Linked DNA regions of Anolis sagrei. The protein of the gene in region 1 interacts with the protein of each later gene in a biochemical or structural test. Links are inferred from orthologs where the notes say so. Each region holds a gene or a part of one and is shown in the gene's direction. Other genes may lie near its edges. The genes, in order: FGFR4 and FGF19.

Region 1 (9,329 bases):
AAGGAAGACTCTGAGGTGAGTTGCCACTTCCTTCCACTGAAATGCAGCCTAAAGAGCCTGAGCTACATTAGAAGTCTCCATCCAAGTACAAACGAAGACTGACTACTGATTAGCCTTTAGGATATTTAGGATTATGCAATTGAAATATCCTGAAAGACAATCCTTGGGGTACCATCCAAATGTTGCAAAAGGGTTTGGGTTTATTTTGGAGAAACAACTGCAAAACAAACCATGCTAAAAGAATTTTCCAGGCTGTGCTCCTCTCCAAGATTGAGTCAGTCCATCCAGGTTGTTCTTGTGGAGCTGAAGCCATGGCAAGATAAATTAAAAATGGATAGCTTATTGTTTGGCTGTTTGGCTGGAAGAGTGATGAGGCAAACATTCCTCCCAGTGGATAACCTTCCTCACACGGTGATAACCTGCACAGACAACTTGGCTCCTCCAAATGCTTCCCTGTGTGACTGAGCCTCGGGGAAGGCCTCTTCGCCTTTTTCAAAAGGAGGTGGAGAGGTTGCCATCTTCACACTCCCCCCCCCCCCCCCGAAAGGCATTTGAACTCCCTGTTTTTATTACGCTGGGGCTGGGCCGTTTTCCTTTTCGTAGAACTTGAGGACACAAAGTGTTTCCGGAGAGGGATGGCTTGTGTTAATTTGTGGCAGCAAAAACAACAAAGATGCTTGTGACTGTCTTAAAATAGGCTCCCCCATACTGGTGTCTTCCAGATTGGGGGAGCTGGACTACATTTTAAAATTAAAGACTCTTGAAATAGAGACATTGGTTGACTGCTGTATGGATTTGTGAAGGGCAGAAAAGCAGGCAGGTCTTTCTTTGCTATGCATGGAGCTGCAGATTGGAGGGTCATTTCCTAACACTAGTTTAAGAAAGGGGGACAGAGGTCAATGCAACCTGAAAACCACACCTTCTCTTCTAATAGTCAGCCAGAGGCTGCATCTATGCTGTAGAATTAATGCTGTTTGACACCACTTTATTTGCCAAGGCTCAGTGCTATGGGAATAGAGGTTTTACAAGGGCCTTCTTTCTCAAAAGTTGCCGATGCCTGACCAAATTACAAATCCCAAGATTCCATAGCATTGAGCTACAGCAATTAAAGTAAAGAAAAACAATGTTAATTCTACAGTGTAGATCAGTGGTCCATGGAACTCACTGTTACTACACGGCTGTATCGGGAGGGGAGAGGCTGACTACCCATGAAAGCAACAACAAGCCTCCTGACTTCTGCTTCTCCTCCTCCTTCCTTCCTTCCTTCCTTCCCCTGAGCCGAGCCATTCCATGTGGTGTCTGGAAGAGGGGATGCCCTGATGTCTTTGTTTTTAGGCCTGTTCCTGGGGTTATTTGTGGTGCTGATTCAGATTATCAAATATTGTTTTCTGTGGGCAAACAGATGGAGACTACTGGATGGCATTTGTTCTGTATCAGAAATTAGAGCTGATGTGGTCTATCCAATACAGTTTTCTAAATCAGCACCCCAGATAATCAAACCAAATCTAAAGTTGACCAAAAACTGATTCATAACCCTTTTGGTACTAATGTTGGAGAGTGGCCCCTGGTCAAAAAATAAGGTTGGGAACCACTGGTGTAAATGGACCCTCAGTTGTGCCTATCAGCCTTTCTGCAATCTGGCAAACCCATGTCCTCAGACAAATGTATTAGATTTGTCTGCTATCATCTCCAGTGGATCTACTTCATAAGCACCTCTGGAAAGTGACAGGTTGTGGGAAAGCCGGTATATCATTATGATGGCTGGGAGTAATTAAGAAGCATTCTGTACATGCTCTGAAACACTATTTTTCCTGTTCCCAAACATTATTTTTAAAGCTCTGTTCTTTGCATGAAACCAACATCTGGGTACTTCTCCCCCACCATCATAACATCCCAACCATAATTTTGTGCAGCCTGAAATTTCTAGCTGGGTTTACAGAGGGTCTTGCAGAAAGAATCAGTTAGCTGTGTCCATCTGCAGCTGTCAGAATACAGATTAACTATTTGCCTCCCAACTCCTGCAGCTGCTTCTAACTTCACGTTCCCATAATGATTTTTGGCATACATTTGAGACAAGTCATCTGTGACAAGTCTTCTCATTAAGCTAAGTAAGGCAGTTATCTGGGCTCCGCTGAATGCAATGTTCAAAGGCATATTGGTTTCCCAATTTCCCAGTGGAGGGAATGTGTGTGTAAATGCATGTGACACATATCCATGCCTTACATCTATCTCACAGCTGGGATGATGTTCTGAAATCCAGATTAGAAAATTGCTTTCAAGGGGACTGGCATGTTGAAGTCATCCTGAACACTGATAGTTACGATGCTGTTCTTCTGTTTTCACCATCTGCTTCTCTGGCCGTGGAATTCAACAAAAAAGCTCCTGTTTTGTAGATTTCCTATGAGGCGAGTGGGGTGGTAGCAGGCATGTAGCGGGGGGGGGGGGGGGGGGGGGCTTGAGGGGCTTCAACCCCAACCCCCCCCCCCCCGAAATTCTCATGGTGGTTCGCAAAAAGGCCTTACTGGTGCAATATTTAAACTGTTATGTTTATTCATATCATGATCTGATCACCATGCTCAATATATCCCATATGCATGGGGGTATTGGGGTAACGATACAAAAGGTTTGCTAGGGTAGACCCTCTTTCACTCAGACACAGCCCCCCCCCCGAAACAAACTCAGCCCCCCCCCCAATTGAAATCCTGGCTACGGGCCTGGGTGGTAGTCCTTTGTGACAGCGATGTCTGCCTGCATTAATTCTGCAGTAGATGTACCACTTCAAGGCACATAGTAGCCCAAATGAAGTTTATCTAAACCAGTGGTTCCCAACCTGTGGTTTGTGGACCACCAGTGGTCCGGGAGAACTAAAATATGGTCCTCACCATTACTACCCCGTTGCAACGAGAGTGGCTGGTCTCATGAAATGCTCTTATAGTGATGAGGCTTATTAAATATGGTTTTCTGTGGGCGAACAAATGGCGATTAATGGATGGCCTATGTTCTGCATCAGAAACTAGAGCTGATGTGGCCTATCCAATGCAATTTTCTGAATCAGCACCCCAAATAAGTAAACCAAATTTAAAATTGACCAAAAACTGATTTGTAACCCTTTTGGTACTAATGTTTGAGTGGTCCCTGGTTAAAGTGGTCCCTGGTCAAGTGGTACCTGATAATAATTAAAAAAGGTTGGGAACCAGTCATCTGAACATACACAGCAGGGAGTTCCAAGGGGGCACAATCTGCCTTTTCATCTTCAGGCAAAAAAGGCCCTTTGCAACAAATCACCCTCTCTACCCCACACTCTTTCCACTTTCTTTTGCCTATCCTTTCACTTAGCATAGACTACTGCAACACGTTCTACGTGGGGTTGCCTTTGAAGAAGGCCCGAAAGCTTCAATTAGTCCAATGGGTGGCAGCCAGATTTCTAACCAGAGCGGCATACAGGGGGCATACTACTGTCCTGTTTAATCAGCTCCACTGGCTGCCGATTCGCTACTGAGCTCAATTTAAAGTGCTGGTCTTGGCCTATAAAGCCCTAAATGGTTCTGGTCCAATTTACCTGTCTAAATGTCTCCTTGTATGAGGCTACTAGAACTTTAAGATTGGCTGGGGAGGCTCTGCTCTTGGTCCCACCCTCTTCACAGGTGTGATTGGTGGGGATGACAGAGCCTTCTCAGTGGTGGAACTCCCTCCCCAGTGACATCAGGCAGGCCTCATCCCTTCTAGTTTTTAGAAAAAAGTTAAAGACATGGCTTTGCACATATAAATGACTATGGGCTTTGACACGGTTTGAATATGGACTATGAACAAGGATTTTGGATGACTGGAACTAGGCACTTTATATGTTTGAATGTGTTTATTAACTAATTATTAAGTGTTTTAATGGCGGGGGTGTGTTATTGTTTTTACTGTTAGATTTTACCGTTATTGAATGGTACCGCAGTTGTAAACCACCTTGAATTCCCTGAAGGGAAGAAAGGCGGGGTATTAAATGAAATAAAACAATAAATGATCTCATTTCTTTAAAATAGCATTTCTCAACCTGGGGGTTGGGACCCCTGCGGGGGTTGCAAGGGGGGTGTCAGAGGGGTCACCAAAGACCATCAGAAAACACAGTATCTGTGTGGGAAGTATGGCCCAGTTCTTTTGTTGGTGGTGTTTAGAATTCTTTTTGACTGTAGGTGAACTATAAATTCCAGCAACTACAACTCCCAAATGTCAAGGTCTGTTTCCCCCAAACTCAACCAGTGTTCACATTTGGGCATATTGAGTATTCGTGCCAAGTTTGGTCCAGGTCCATCATTATTTGAATCCACAGTGCTGTCTGGATGTAGGTGAACTACAACTCCAAAACTCAAGGTCAATGTCCACCAAACCCTTCCAGTATTTTCTGTTGTTTATGGGGGTTCTGTGTGGGAAGTTTGGCCCAATTCTTTCACTGGTGGAGTTCAGAATGCTCTTTGATTTTGGGTGAACTATAAATCCCAGCAACAACAACTCCCAAATGACAAAATCAACTCCCCCAACCCCACCAGTATTCAAATTTGGGTTTATTGGGTATTTGTGCCAAATTTCGCCCAGTGAATTAAAACACATCCTCCATATCGGGTATTAGTATTACGATTCATAACAGTAGCAAAATTACAGCAACAAAAACAATGTTATGGCTGTGGGTCAGCACAATATGAAGAACTGTATGTATTAAGGGGTCGCGGCATTGGGAAGGTTGAGAAACCCTGTGGCCTTTCCCCAGGAAGAGCTCCTGGTTTGGTCTCTCCGGTTTCCAGGGCGAGCGGGAGAGGAAGCCCAGCGAGGGCAGCAGGGAATGAACTCGGCCTAATCCCTTTTGCCGGAGCTTTGGGGGAGAGAATTTAGCTAATGTGAGTGTGAAAAGGCGCTGGAGGGGGGGGGGGGGTGGAGGAGGGGAGGGGCTGCCGCGCAGGGAGGGAAGGAGGGAGGGAGGGGCCCTGGGGGCGGGGCGGGGAGGGGAGTCCCTCGGGCCCCGCCCCCTCCCTCGCTGGCTCTTTTGGCGGCCCATTGTTGGCTGGGGTCCGCGCGCGGGGAAGGGGAAGGCAGGAAGGCGAGAGAGGGAGAGAGAGAGGGAGGGGGGTGTCACCCGAGCCCTGGGGCTACAAAGTCCCCACGCCTTTGCCGACTTCGGCAGAAGGGCGCAAGGGAAGGGAGCCGGGACCCTCGGGGCGCGCGTTCGGGGCTCTCTCCGCCTCCCAGGGCAGGGAAAGAAAGAGGTGGGGGAAAAAACCTCTCCTCCTCTTCCTCCGGATCGATCTCCCTTTCCGCGCGGGAGGCGCCTCGCTCCCTTGGCCGGCCAGCTGAGGATGGAGCGCCTCTCCGCAGCCCCAGCTTCCAGGAGTTAGCGGGACCCCGAAGCCGCAGCACCAGCAGCAGCCGAAGGCGGAGGAGGAGGTGAGGAGGGCGCCTTCGGGCCGGGTTTGGTGCAGCGGAGGGGAGGGGGGCGGGCGGTTAAAGCTTGGTGGCCCTTGGACTCACTCGGGTTGCCTCGTCCCTTGGCTTATAGTTTGGGACTGCCTTCTCGGGCGGTGTGGATGGAGAGTACCTTTGGCGACCCAGGAGGCTCCCCGGGGCGTGGCGGGGCCGAGAGCCCTCTTCCCTGGGCGGACTTTGACCGGGAAGGTCTGTCAATCTGTTACCAGAGGTCTTTTGCTCCCCCCCCCCGCCCCCTTTGAGATCGCGGGATTAAAGATTAAACCACCTGGGAGACCGGGGAGCTCTTTCTTCCTTCCCCTGGTCCTCTCACTCACTCTCTCGCATCTCCTCCGCTCCGCCTGGCTGGGAACTTACTTCGTTTCGCCCTTGAAACGCGCGCCTCGCTCCAGGCGCAAGACTTTCCCCCGTTTCCTTCCAAGCGGCATCCGAAAGGAGCCCCCGGTGGTGCAGTGGGTTAAACCCTTCTGCCGGCAGGACTGAAGACCGACAGGTCGGAAGTTCGAATCCGGGGAGAGCGCGGGTGAGCTTCCTCTGTCAGCTCCAGCACCCCGTAGTGGGACATGAGAGATGCCTCCCACAAGGATGGGGAAACATCAACACATCCTGGCTTCCCCTGGGCAACGTCCTTGCAGACGGACAATTCTCTCACACCAGAAGCGACTTGCAGTTTCTCAAGTCGCTCCTGACACGGAAAAAAAATCCGAATCCTCCCGGGAAGGTGACCCGGATCCCAGGGAGGATGATCCCTGTGATGGGAGAGCTCCTCGTCCTGACTCTCCCCGGTGCGCCGCCTTGAAGGGACTGCCCTGCTCGCAGCATCTTCCCATGAAGCCACCGTCTTCCTCCCGTTTTCCCTCCTCGTTTACCGGTCCTAAGGTTCCCCAGGCTCTCCCCTCTTGTTGTTTGTCTTGTGCTGCCCTGGAGCAGCCACCCAGGCTCACAACCAAAGATGTCCCTCTGAGATTTGGGCAGAAAGGGGAAAAGGTGGCAGAATCTTCCTGCCCTCTTGGGAAGCAGAGAGGCAGGGACCAACATCCTGATGCCCATTGCGAAGGGCCCCCTGGTCCAGCTGCACTTCTCAGTCTATTTGATACAGGGGACCGAGCTATTACTTCCCTCCATTGGACCAGGGACCCATCACCATAATAGGGGCCATTGGCTGGCATTGTTCCTTTGTTTCCTGGTCATTTGCCAGGAACTGACAGCTCATGCCCCGGGAATTGGTCCTAGTCCAGAGAGCACCACTTACATTTGGTCCTCAAAATGTAGTCCTCTAGATCAGGTATTGGCAAACTTCGGCCCTCCGGGTGTTTTGGACTTAACTCTCACAATTCCTGGCATCAGGCTCCTTCCTTTTCCCTCTCAGCCGCTTAAGCGGGTGTTTGGACCTCCCACAATCACTGGCCTTAGACCCCTTCCTTTCCTCCTTCTGCTACTTAAGCAGATGTTTTGGACTTCAACTCCCACAATTCCTGGCCTCAGGCCTCTTCCTTTTCCCCCTCAGCCATTTAAGCGGGTGTTTTGGATTTCATCTCACACAGTTCCTGGCCTCAGGCCCCTTCCTTTCCCCATCAGCTGCTTATGCAGCTGAGGGGAAAAAGGAAAGAGCCTGAGGCCAGGAATTGTGGGCGTTGAAGTCCAAAACACCTGGAGGGCCAAAGTTTGTCCATGCCTTGTCTAGATCCTTTACATAACCCCAAGTATATATGTGTAAAAAATAGATGTAAAAATCAAACATTTCCTGACAACACATCAGTATTGGCAAGACTTGCTAAACAGGCTGGTTTTCCTTTTTATGAAGTACAGCTGAAGCATTTTCTGCAGAGCCCACTGTAAACGCTGCTCATGGTTGCTAACAGATTCATGTAAATGTCTGAAACCTTTTCTGTTGCCAACTGAGCTAAGGGAACCCCATTTGTGGCTGGAACCCACAGTTTAAGAAGCAGTGCTGCTCTGCATGTTTTGAAGTTGAACTCCTGAAAGTCCTAGTTGGTGAGGCCAATGCAGGCAGTTCTTTCCAAACATCTGGAGGACCATAGTTTGAGAACTATTGGTCTAGAACTTTGAATGAAGTGTAGCCAGTTCTCAAAGGAAGAGTGGTAAAATTGCAAGGATGGCAAACCATGTGCTCCCCAAGAAATAAATTAGCATTTCTTTGAACTTATTTTCTTGTGGGAATGGTTAGCAAATCGGTCCCTTATTTGAAATCCCTGCTGGCGGCCCTTTCCTTCCAAAGAGAATGTCTAGCAGCCAATCATGGCTGGCTACAGGAGTCAATGTCTATATAAACATGTTTCTCCTTTGCTATTCCTGCATCCATGCAAGCCATTATTATTGGCAGTTCTAGATGGGTATGAACTTAGGATATGTGGTTCATTGTGTGTTGAGTGGAAAAAATCCAGAGGGCTGAGTATGACTTTCTCCTCTCTTTGATCCAGGGCTTTACATTTCTACTGGAGTCAAGAAGAAACGACAGGATGAGAACCATACTGTGTGGCCTTCTGAAGTTTCTGGCAGTGGTGGCAACCACATGTGCTTGGCCAGCAGCTGCTCCCATGGGAGGAACCACAGAACCGGGTGAGAGTGTGGGGATGTCTCTGTTGTTGGGAGAAAGAAGATGACCAGTTTTCCATAGCCTGGTGTCCACCAGATGGTTGGATTACAATACGGACCGTCCCATTGTAATCCAACACATCTGGAGGACAGGAAGTTGCAGTAAAGCCAAATTAGCAATGGTTTTGGCTTGAAACAAAGGGGCTATGAATTCTCACAATTTGTGGGGCACCCTTTTCATCTTTGTTGGGGTTTGATAAGACATACTGCATTTCTTATGACAATAGTACAGAGCCATATTATTCCCATTGGAGAGAGCTAAGCAAAATTGGACTTTCCAGTGTTGTTAGAGTACAGTTCTCATCCATCCTAATTAGTATAGCCTATAGTAAAGGATGATGGGACTTCAGCAACATCTGAACAGCGGCATCCTTACAATCATGATTTGCTGTCTTCTAAACCAATTCTCTCCTAACCTGCTAATGAAGGGGAGGGGGAAATCATGTGTCCCTCCAAACATTCCTGGATTGCAAGTCCTGAAAGCCCCAACCCAGTGGTTCTCAACCTGTGGGTCCCAGGTGTTTTGGCCTACAACTCCCAGAAACCCCAGCCAGTTTACCAGCTGTTAGGATTTCTGGGAGTTGAAAGCCAAAATATCTGGGGACCCACAGGTTGGGAACCACTGCCCTCACCAGCAATGAGGGATGCAGGAGGCTGCAATCCAGCAATTCCTGGAGGCCACAAGATTTCCAGTCTATACTAACACAGTGATATTGCATGCTCATTTCTCCATGTAATGATGTAGTGCATACAGCTCTTAATGGTTATACTACATGTTTTTTCCTCCTCAGTCTTTTGGTTGAACAGAACATAAGCAATCTGATGATGATGGTCTTTGAGGAGAAAGTACACCCTCTAAGGCAGTACTTGTGTGGGCAAAAGGAATACCGCATGCAGACAGTAATTTAGGATCTGCTGGCAGAATTGCAGAAGTTTTGTAATAGTTCATCCAGGATTCCTGATTTCAAGGAAAATGCAATAAAAATCTGCAGTATTTAATGCAGATCACCTCCAAACACCAAATTGTTTATGATGTCTCTGCCAGGAAGATTGTGAGCAAGAGGTTGATGAGGCCTAATTTTTCTCTGTCAGGGGCACTTCAGTCTCATTTAGCAGCTAGTTTTTCTTTGGATCTGTTTCTTGACTTTGTCCTTAGCTGTCAATTTGGTTGATTAACATTTGAATTAAACAATCAAGACTGGTAATGCAGAATAGAACTAAGTACATTTCCGCCAAGCAGGTGCCTTGTG
Region 2 (9,041 bases), on another chromosome or scaffold:
TTTTGTCAGCGCCGATTGTATTTAAGTGCAGGCCAAGTGTGCCGATCACCACTGGGACCACCTTTACTGCTTTATGCCAGAGTCTTTGCAGTTCGATCTTTAAATCCTTTTATTGTGTCAGCTTTTCTAGTTATTTCTCTTCAATCCTGTTGTATCCAGGTTGGTTTCTTGTGTGCTCTGCTATAGCTGATTTCCTTGGTTGAATTAATCTGCAGTGCCTTTCATGCTCTTTGATTCATGTCTTCATGCAGTCATGCTGGCCACATGACCATTGAGGTGTATGTATGTTTTAGTATGCTTCCTTTACTTTATGGTGTCTGAGAAGTTATAAAAGGGGCTGCAGACCACATGCTCGCTCTCCCTTCTTTTAACTATGTGACCTGTTCATAACTGTTTTGTTCTAAGAGATTTATTTATTGTGTCAGGAGCAGACCAAACAGTTACGTTGCATTTTTAACAAACAAACAAAACACAAAGTTTGCAGGCTTGGTAGTTGATTAAATGTCCTTTGACCAGTAGCTGGCCACTTGGAGTGCCTCTGGTGTTGCTGAAAGAAGGTCCTCCATTGTGCATGTGGCAGGGCCCAGGTTGCATTGCAGCAGGTGGTCTATAGTTTGCTCTTCTCCACACTCGCATGTTGTGGATTCCACTTTGTAGCCCCATTTCTTAAGGTTGGCTCCGCATCTTGTGGTGCCAGAGCGCAGTCTGTTCAGCGCCTTCCAAGTCGCCCAGTTTTCTGTGTTCTAAGTGATGTTTTGGCCAGATGGCACAGAGAATTATCTCAAACTTAACTGAAACTGGATTGATAAGTTTTGTACTGTGTATGCTGAACTCACGAAGGTTGTGAGTAAACCAAATAAGTTATTTTTCAAATCAAAGTCTATTTCATTTTTGTCTCTTGAGTGCATGATATAAAACAAGTTGTTTTATGGGGGAGTGTATATTTTTGGGCACTGAAAGACACTTCTGAAGCACAGCTGTTTTTTTTTTTTAATGCACTGGCAAAATCTCTGTTTTCTGAACAGATCAGAGATAACAGGTTACTCAGTCTAACACCTGAAACCATTGCCTTGAATAATTATACAGGGTGAGGCAGCATAACTTCCTTTTTTAAAATGTGTGCCATTTGAAGACGTAGCGGAGTGCTAGTGGTCTCGTTTGAGGGTGGGAGTATAAAGTTTTGTCCTGACACAGTTAAGTCCCCACCATGCATTGGAACAGTGAGGAGCGTGCTTTTGCCGTTGAGGCTTACTTTTCGAGCAGATTTGGAGTGGCCGGCCCACTCTCCAGATTTGGCCCCTTGTGATTTTTTTCTATGGGGTTTTTTGAAATTCCGTGTTTATGTGAACCATCCAAAGACCCTACAAGATTTGAAGACCAACAGGAAGAAATTGCCAACATAATGTCTGCTACGCTGGCAAGAGTCATGACAAACGCCAGAAATCGGTTTACTCAGTGTATGGAGAATGGAGAATGGGGAACGTCACCTACCTAATCTGATCTTCAAAACTACGTAAAACAAAACTTTAGGTATGTGCCTACATTATAAAAAAATAAATTTCTGATTCATACAATGGGTTTTATTAAGTTTTGAAAAAAGGAAGTTATGTTGCCTCACCCTGTATCTAATTATATACCACAAGAGAAGATTCTACTCTAAAGGGGTTTCTGGCTCTTCTCGAAAAGGCCTTTTCCAAAAGGTTATGAATGCTATTTTCCAAAAGTTCAATGTGTTTCCTCCCAACTGGGGGTAGACTTTATAGAAACCATGTGAATAATGCTTGCTTGGGAAAGGTTTCCAAGTGTGGACTGCCCTTTCAGAGAACAAGGGAACAAAAAATGAAATTCCCAGGAAGTCTAGGTGTGACATGGTTCTGGGGAGGGAGTGTATCAGGAGGGGAGAAAGTCGGCGGGTGCCCTTTGCCCTCCGCTTTGGCATCCTGCCCAGGACAACGAACTTGGGGAATGAAGGGAGTGATCTAATCCAACAGGGCTAAATACTTTCCTCTTGGCCTTGGACTGCCACCCAGAGGCTCAGCGTGTCACTTTCACCTAAGAGTGGCACCTTGCCCCTCCAAGTGCCTGCTTGCAGCTTAGGGATGTGAAGGCAGGTGCACACAATGTATATCAGACATAGGCAAACTTTGGCTCTCGGGGTGTTTTGGACTTCAACTCCCACAATTAATAATAATTTATACCCGTCTCCATCACTCCAAGGGGACTCAGGGCAGCTAACATGAGGCCGAGCCCAATAGTTACAACAAAGCAAAACAAATGCAGCATACAATCATAAAATAATACATAAAATAAAATGCAATAAAATATATGGAAAGAAAGAAGGAGAGTAATACAAAATAAACACAGGGTACAACAAAATAAGCAAAGATATTAAGCCGAGTGGGCAGGGCCAAGTACAGAGGATTGGATTTTAAAACCCTGTGTGAGGCAGATAAATAGGGTGATGCATCTCGTGGGGTTCAGATGGGACAACCAAAGGGAATTAATTTCAACCAAAGGATGAGATAAAGTGCATCAAAGGGCATTTTGTACTGAATTGATCAAGGTAAGGGGATTTGATGTTCATTCCTGGAAGGCACACCTAAACGGCCAGATTTTTAGGCTCTTCCTGAAGGCTGCCAGGGTGGGTGCTTGCCTAATCTCTCTGGATAGCGAGTTCCAAAGTCGAGGGGCCACTACAGAGAAGGCCTTCTCCTTCGTTCCCACAAGTCGCGCCTGCAAAGGAGGTGGGAGCAAAAGGAGGGCCTCCCCTGATGATCAACTAAGGTAGGCTGGTCCCAAATCGTTCAGGGCTTTGTAGATGATAACCTACACCTTGAATTGGGACCCGATGAATGGCAGCCAATGGAGCTCCTTAAACAGGAAAGGGCTTGAGGCTGTTTGGAATTGTGGGAGTTGAAATCCAAAACACCTGAAGGGCCCAAGTTTGACCTATATAGTAATATAAATAATGCAGACACACACAGAGGAGTGATGCAAAATTAGATGCTCCTGAAAAGCAGTGTTGTCTGCTGTTGCCTTCACAGCATCACATGAACAATCCCCCCCCTTTCCCCTGTCGATCACCCCCTCCCCTAATTCGGAATCTCTTTCTTCCTGTCGATTCTGGGAGGTATTGCATCAGAAAGAAAGAAAAAAACGCTTGGCCACCTTGGGGAACAAAGGCCCCGCTCCTTCTGCCTAAGGTGGGCGATTTTCCGGGTCAGCAGCAAGCCATTCTATGGAGCCCTCGGAAGACTTCCTTCCAGCGCCTCCCCTCCTTTTCTCTTTGCAAACGGTGCCGGGCAGAATGAATACCCGGCCTTGATTCGCAGACGCGGCGTGGAAAGAAAGACCAAGGGCGTGGAAAGCGCGGCGTCTCCCTGAACACGAGCAAAGGCAGGGCAGGGGCCAGCCTTTCCAAACACCACCGAGATTCCTTGAACTTTGGGGAGAAATTGGCAGATCTTGAGGGATATATTGTGGGAAAAGCAAGGATAGTACAAGAAGGGACCTCAAGGTGCTTGAGTCAGCCTGAGTGTGAGGCTATGGGTGCAGAATTAATGCAGTTTACTGATTCCCCAGCACTGCCAGGGCTCAGTGCTAGGGAATCATGGGAGTTGTAGTCTTACAAGGCTTTGGCCTTCACTGCCAAAGACCAAACCTCAGTCCCCAGAATTCCATACAGCATTCAAGTGGTGTGAAACTGAATGGGTTCGAAACACACCCGCCTGGCTTAATTTGGTGAAGACTGGGTTGGCGTCCCCGCCAGTCATGAAACCCACTGGGCCAGTCACACTCTCTCAGCCTCAGAGGGAGGCAGAGGAGAGCCTCATCTTCTGCTCAACTCTGGAGAGTGGCGCCCTAAGTGGGGATGGAAGGGCTTGGAAGCGGAAGAGATGGATTACTGTGAGTTTTCCGGGTTGTATGGCCATCTTCCAGAAGCATTCTCTCCTGAAGTTTCGTCCACATCTATGGCAGGTGTCCTCAGAGGTTGTGACGTCTGTTGATAAGTAGGCAAGTGGGATTTTTTTCTATCTTTCTGATGCAATACCTCCCAGAATCTGTGGAATATCCAGGGTGGGAGAAGGAACTCTTGTCTGCTTGAGGGAAGTGTGAATTTTGCAATTGGCCACCTTGATTAGCATTGAATAGTCTTGCAGCTTCAAAACCTGGCTGGTTGCTGCCTGGGGGAATCCTTTGTTGGGAGGTGTTAGCTGGCCCCGATTGAGTCTTGTCTGGCTTAGGTGGACTCTCTTTGGATTTGCCCTGCTTTTTGAGTGTTGGATCTTTATTTGCTGTCCACAAGCATGTGGACAATTTCAACAGAAAGGAAGAAAAACCATGAAAACGTACAAAATCTGGCAACCAGTATTTAAAAACTCAAAAATCAGGACAGTAAATAAAGAACAACACTCAAAAACGGGAATTCCAGACAAGAAACAATCAGACCCAGCTAATACCTCCCAACAAAGGATATCCCAAGGCAGAAAGCAGCCAGGCTTTGAAGCTGCAAGGCCACTCAATGCCTATCAGTTGGAACATTCACACATGTCTCAAGTAGACTAGTCTTTCTCCCACCCTGGACTTTCCAGAGATATATAAACCTCATTTGCCTAGTTTCCCATAGACCTCACAACCTCTGAGTATGCCTGGCATAGGTGTTGGGGAAACGTCAGGAGAGCATGCTTCTGGAGCATGGCCAGGGAAACTCACAGCGACCCAGTGATTCCGGCCATGAAAGCCTTCGACAACACATGGAAGAGATGGGCTCCCCTCCTCCTCCTCCCCCCCCCTCCTTGGCACCTCTCCTTGGGGCGGGGGACGCCTTTGAGGCCCCTCAGCCAAGGAGTCCTGTTCTCTATCCCCCCCCCCCCGCCTTCGCCTGTTCTCCGGAGTTTCCAATCGGCACCCTCCTTCCATCGTACGATCCTGGGCGGCGTCTTCAAAGCCCCCTTGGCGCCTCTCCCCCTCCCCGTCCTTTTCTCTCCCTGGAAGGAGGGAGTGGGGGGGGGGTCTCCTGGGCAGAGCGCGTCTCTTGCCGGGAATGATGCAAGAGCCCTGAGCCAGTCTTCGGGGCGTGTGTGGCGCAGGGAGGCTGGCGCTGCTCCTCTCGGGCAAGTGCCGCTCGCCTTTTATCGATCGCCCGAGGGCTATAAAAGGGGGTGGCCGTGGCTCCACGCGTCCTGCCTGCCTTCCTTCCTGCCAAGGGGAGCTCTTCACCGGAGGGGATCCCGCGCCCAGAGCTCTTCTCTCTGTGTCTCTCCGTCCCTTCTGCTCTGCTCTGCGCTGCGGAGGGTGCCTTCGGGGCGGCGAGGATGTGGCGGCGGGCGCTGCCCTTGCTGGGGGCCCTGCTGGGCTTGGCGCCCCTGGCCTCCCGCGCCCTCCCTCTCACCGACGCCGGGCCCCACGTCAGCTACGGCTGGGGGGAGCCCGTCCGGCTCAGGCACCTCTACACCGCGGGACGCCAGGGCCTCTTCAGCCAGTTCCTCCGCATCCACGCCGACGGGAGAGTCGACGGCGCCGGGAGCCAGAACCGGCAGAGTAAGTCCGCTTCCCTTGGAGGAGGGGGAGAAGGCGGAGAGAGGGGGGACCCATGCCTCAGTATTGGGAAGGATGTCCCATGGAAGAGGAGGGAAAGCTTGTTTTCCGCTGATCTGGAGACAGAGTAGGACAGGGAGCAATGAGATCAAATGCCAGGGAAAGAGAGTCCACCTAAGCCAGGCCTGGGCTAACTTGGGCCCTCCCTCCAAGTGTTTTGGACTGCAGCTCCCACCATTCCTAATGGCAGGGAAAGAGAGTCCACCTAAGCCAGGCCTGGGCCAACTTGGGCCCTCTCTCAGGTGTTTTGGATTGCACTCCCACCATTCCTAACAGCCTCAGGCCTCTTCCTCGCTTAAGCGGCTGAAGGGGAAAAGGAAAGGTCCCGAGGCTGTTAGGAATGGTGGGAGTTGCAATCCAAATCCCCTGGAGGGAGGGCCCAAGTTGGCCCATGCCTGAGCTAGATGCTTTCCCCCCTTTGTGGACACATTGTCAGGAATATATACCAATCAGGAGCTTATCTTTATTGATCCAAAACCCAAGGCAGTTTGGAAGGTATGGCCTTTGGTGGTGTTTCCAAATTGCAAAAGAATTTGAGTTTTCACAAGATGGGATGGGATTCAGATCTGTTAAGCTCAAAATAACCACCTGGATGGAGGGCCCAAGTTGTCCCAGGCCTGGGGCCCTCATCACGGTAGAGAAAAAATCCACTTAAATGTATTGTCAAAGGCTTTCATAGCTGGAATTACTGAGTTGTTCTAGGTTTTTCGGGCTATATGACCATGTTCTAGAAGCATTCTCTCCTGACGTTTCGCCTGCATCTATGGCAAGCATCCTCAGGGGTTGTGAGATCACAACCTCTGAGGATGCTTTCCATAGGTGCAAGCGAAATGTCAGGAGAGAATGCTTCTAGAATATGGCCATACAGCTCGAAAAACCTACAACCGAATCCACTTAAAATATGGTTTCTACCTCCTGCAGAATTCTGGGGTTTGTAGTTTAGGGAGGAGCCTTTAACAGTCTCAGTAAACTACAAACCCCATAATTCTGCAGGAGGCAGAAATCGGATTTTAAGTGGATTTTTTTCTCTAGTGTGATGAGGCCCCTGGTTTAAGTATGACCACCCACCACCAGGAATGAGAAGCCAACAGATAGAAGAGTTCTAGAGGCGACCAGTTTTCCATAAGATGCAAAGCAGGGGATTTGTGGACCCAAAGGGGGAAAAAGTCATGAGAGACAGGATTCCCATTGGATGGCCATGCCCAACCCACCTCATGGAGTGGCACCCCTAGTGAAGCACAAGAAGCCGCCCTGAAACAAATCACTCTGAAAAGTGCCACCAAACTACTTTGCAGAGGAAGGTGTCTCTGGATTCCATATCTTTGAGGGTTTCCAAAAAGCGATGACTCCCCCCCCCCCCCCCGCTTCTCCTCCTTCCCACGCGTGTGGTCCCGTGACGCCTCCTCCGTCTGTTCCTCGTGGCAGGTTTGCTGGAGATCCGCGCGGTCTCGTTGCGCGCCGTGGCCCTCAAAGGCGTGCACAGCTCCCGCTACCTCTGCATGGAGGAGGACGGCCGGCTCCGCGGGATGGTGAGTATCGTCCGTGGCACCAAGGGCCGCGCCTCCCTCCCTCCCTCCCTTCCCACCTCCACAGCCATGGATCCGTCCTTTCCCGGAAGGAAGACCACGTGGCGGATTCAAACAACAACAAGCCCTGCTCTTGGACCATCCAGAGCCAAAGCAGGGAGCTCGCCTGCATGATATTCTTGGCAGGCGCCAATGCGGTCTCAACACTTTGTGCCTGTTTGAAATCACACATTCAAAACAGATTGAGGAGCAGAGTCATTAGGATCTTGGTGTGAATTGGCACAACAAGCCTCATCAATTGAGGAAGGGAAGGTAGAAGAAACCAGGAAGGTTATTTTGAAAACGCCAGCCCTGCTGGTGGGATCAGGAGAAAGGAAATCCCTCATTTTCTACATGCCCCATTTTACAGTGTGGTCAATTGAGGATCAAACGGTAGGATCAGTTGCTCTCCCTTTGCGTTCACTGGAAGTTGGACCCCACCCATCTCCCCCCCCCCCTTTCTCTTATCCTCCAGCCTTGTTAGTGTTTTGTTTTGGGAGTAGAGGCGGGGCCCACAATGTTGTTCTGGAATGTGGACTGCCATGCTTTATTGTTTGTTTATCTTTTTCTTCCGGATCTGTTTCAAGGATCACCAGGCCAAGTCTTTGCCTTTATCTCCTCCTGTCCTCACAGCACCCCAGAGGAAGGCGAGTCTGCCAGATAAGGACACCACCGCAGGCCACCCAGTCTGCCTTCTGGCTAGGCAAAGAGTCCAGACCACAATCCCCTCATCCAGCCTTTTTGCTTGTACTTCACAAAAGGAAGAAGTTTGTATAATGCCCCCTCCTTCCCTGCCGTTTCTTAATATTTTTGCCCCATCTTAAATTAGAATCACATCCATAGAATCCTAGAGTTGGAAGAGACCTCATGGGCCATTCAGTCCAACCCCCTGCCAAGAAGCAGGAAAATTGCATTCAAAGCACCCCCGACAAATGGCCATCCAGCCTCTGTTTAAAAGCCTCCAAAGAAGGAGCCTCCACCACACTCCGGGGCAGTGAGTTCCACTGCTGAATAGCTCTCTCGCACAATTTGGAAGTTCTTCCTAATGTTCCAGTTAAATCTCCTCTCTTGTAGTTTGAAGCCATTGTTCTGCATCCTAATCTCCAGGGCAGCAGAAAACAAGCTTGCTCCCTCCTCCCTATGACTTCCTCTCACATATTTATACATGGCTATCATGTCTCCTCTCAGCCTTCTCTTCTTCAGGCTAAACATGCCCAGCTCTTTAAGCCACTCCTCATAGGGCTTGTTCTCCAGACCCTTGATCATTTTAGTCACCCTCCTCTGGACACATTCCAGCTTGTCAACATCTCTCTTCAATTGTGGTACCCAGAATTGAACACAATATTCCAGGTGTGGTCTAACCAAGGCAGAAAAGAGGAGGGGTAGCATGACTTCTCTGGATCTAGGCACTGTATACTATTGATGCAGGCAAAAATCCCATTTGCTTTTTTTGCCACTGTATTACATTGTTGGCTCATGTTTAACTTGTTGTCCACGAGGACCCCAACATCCCTGGCCATACAACCCTTTTCTAGTGAGGTACGTTGTCTTTTCCAAAAACTAGAAAAAGGATTGTTGGGTTGCTGTGAATTTTCCGGGCTGTATGGCCATGTTCTAGAAGCTTTCTCTTCTGACGTTTTGCTCACATCTATGGCAGGCATCCTCAGAGGTTTTGAAGTTTGTTGGAAACTACTCAAGTGAGATTTATACAGTAGTGTCTTGCTTATCCAACAGAAATGGACCAACAGAACATTGGATAAGTGCAAATGTTGGATAATAAGGAGGGCTTAAGGAAAAGCCTATTAAACATCCAATTACATTATGATTTTACAAATTAAGCACCAAAACATCATGTTTTACAACAAATCAACAGAAAAA

Evidence for each region.
Region 2: the proteins of FGFR4 (region 1) and FGF19 form a complex in vitro, tested with the Homo sapiens proteins (2 studies listed by BioGRID and IntAct). The link is inferred for Anolis sagrei from reciprocal best matches to the Homo sapiens genes FGFR4 and FGF19.

What each region holds. Positions count from the first base shown.
Region 1 is NC_090022.1:77,266,008-77,275,336, reverse strand, and holds the start of FGFR4 (fibroblast growth factor receptor 4), read left to right. Parts: upstream 1-5,039; 5' UTR 5,040-5,424; intron 5,425-7,904; 5' UTR 7,905-7,943; coding exon 7,944-8,043; intron 8,044-9,329. UniProt on the Homo sapiens protein: Tyrosine-protein kinase that acts as a cell-surface receptor for fibroblast growth factors and plays a role in the regulation of cell proliferation, differentiation and migration, and in regulation of lipid metabolism, bile acid biosynthesis, glucose uptake, vitamin D metabolism and phosphate homeostasis.
Region 2 is NC_090021.1:266,692,219-266,701,259, reverse strand, and holds the start of FGF19 (fibroblast growth factor 19), read left to right. Parts: upstream 1-5,226; 5' UTR 5,227-5,315; coding exon 5,316-5,541; intron 5,542-7,023; coding exon 7,024-7,127; intron 7,128-9,041. UniProt on the Homo sapiens protein: Involved in the suppression of bile acid biosynthesis through down-regulation of CYP7A1 expression, following positive regulation of the JNK and ERK1/2 cascades. Stimulates glucose uptake in adipocytes. Activity requires the presence of KLB and FGFR4.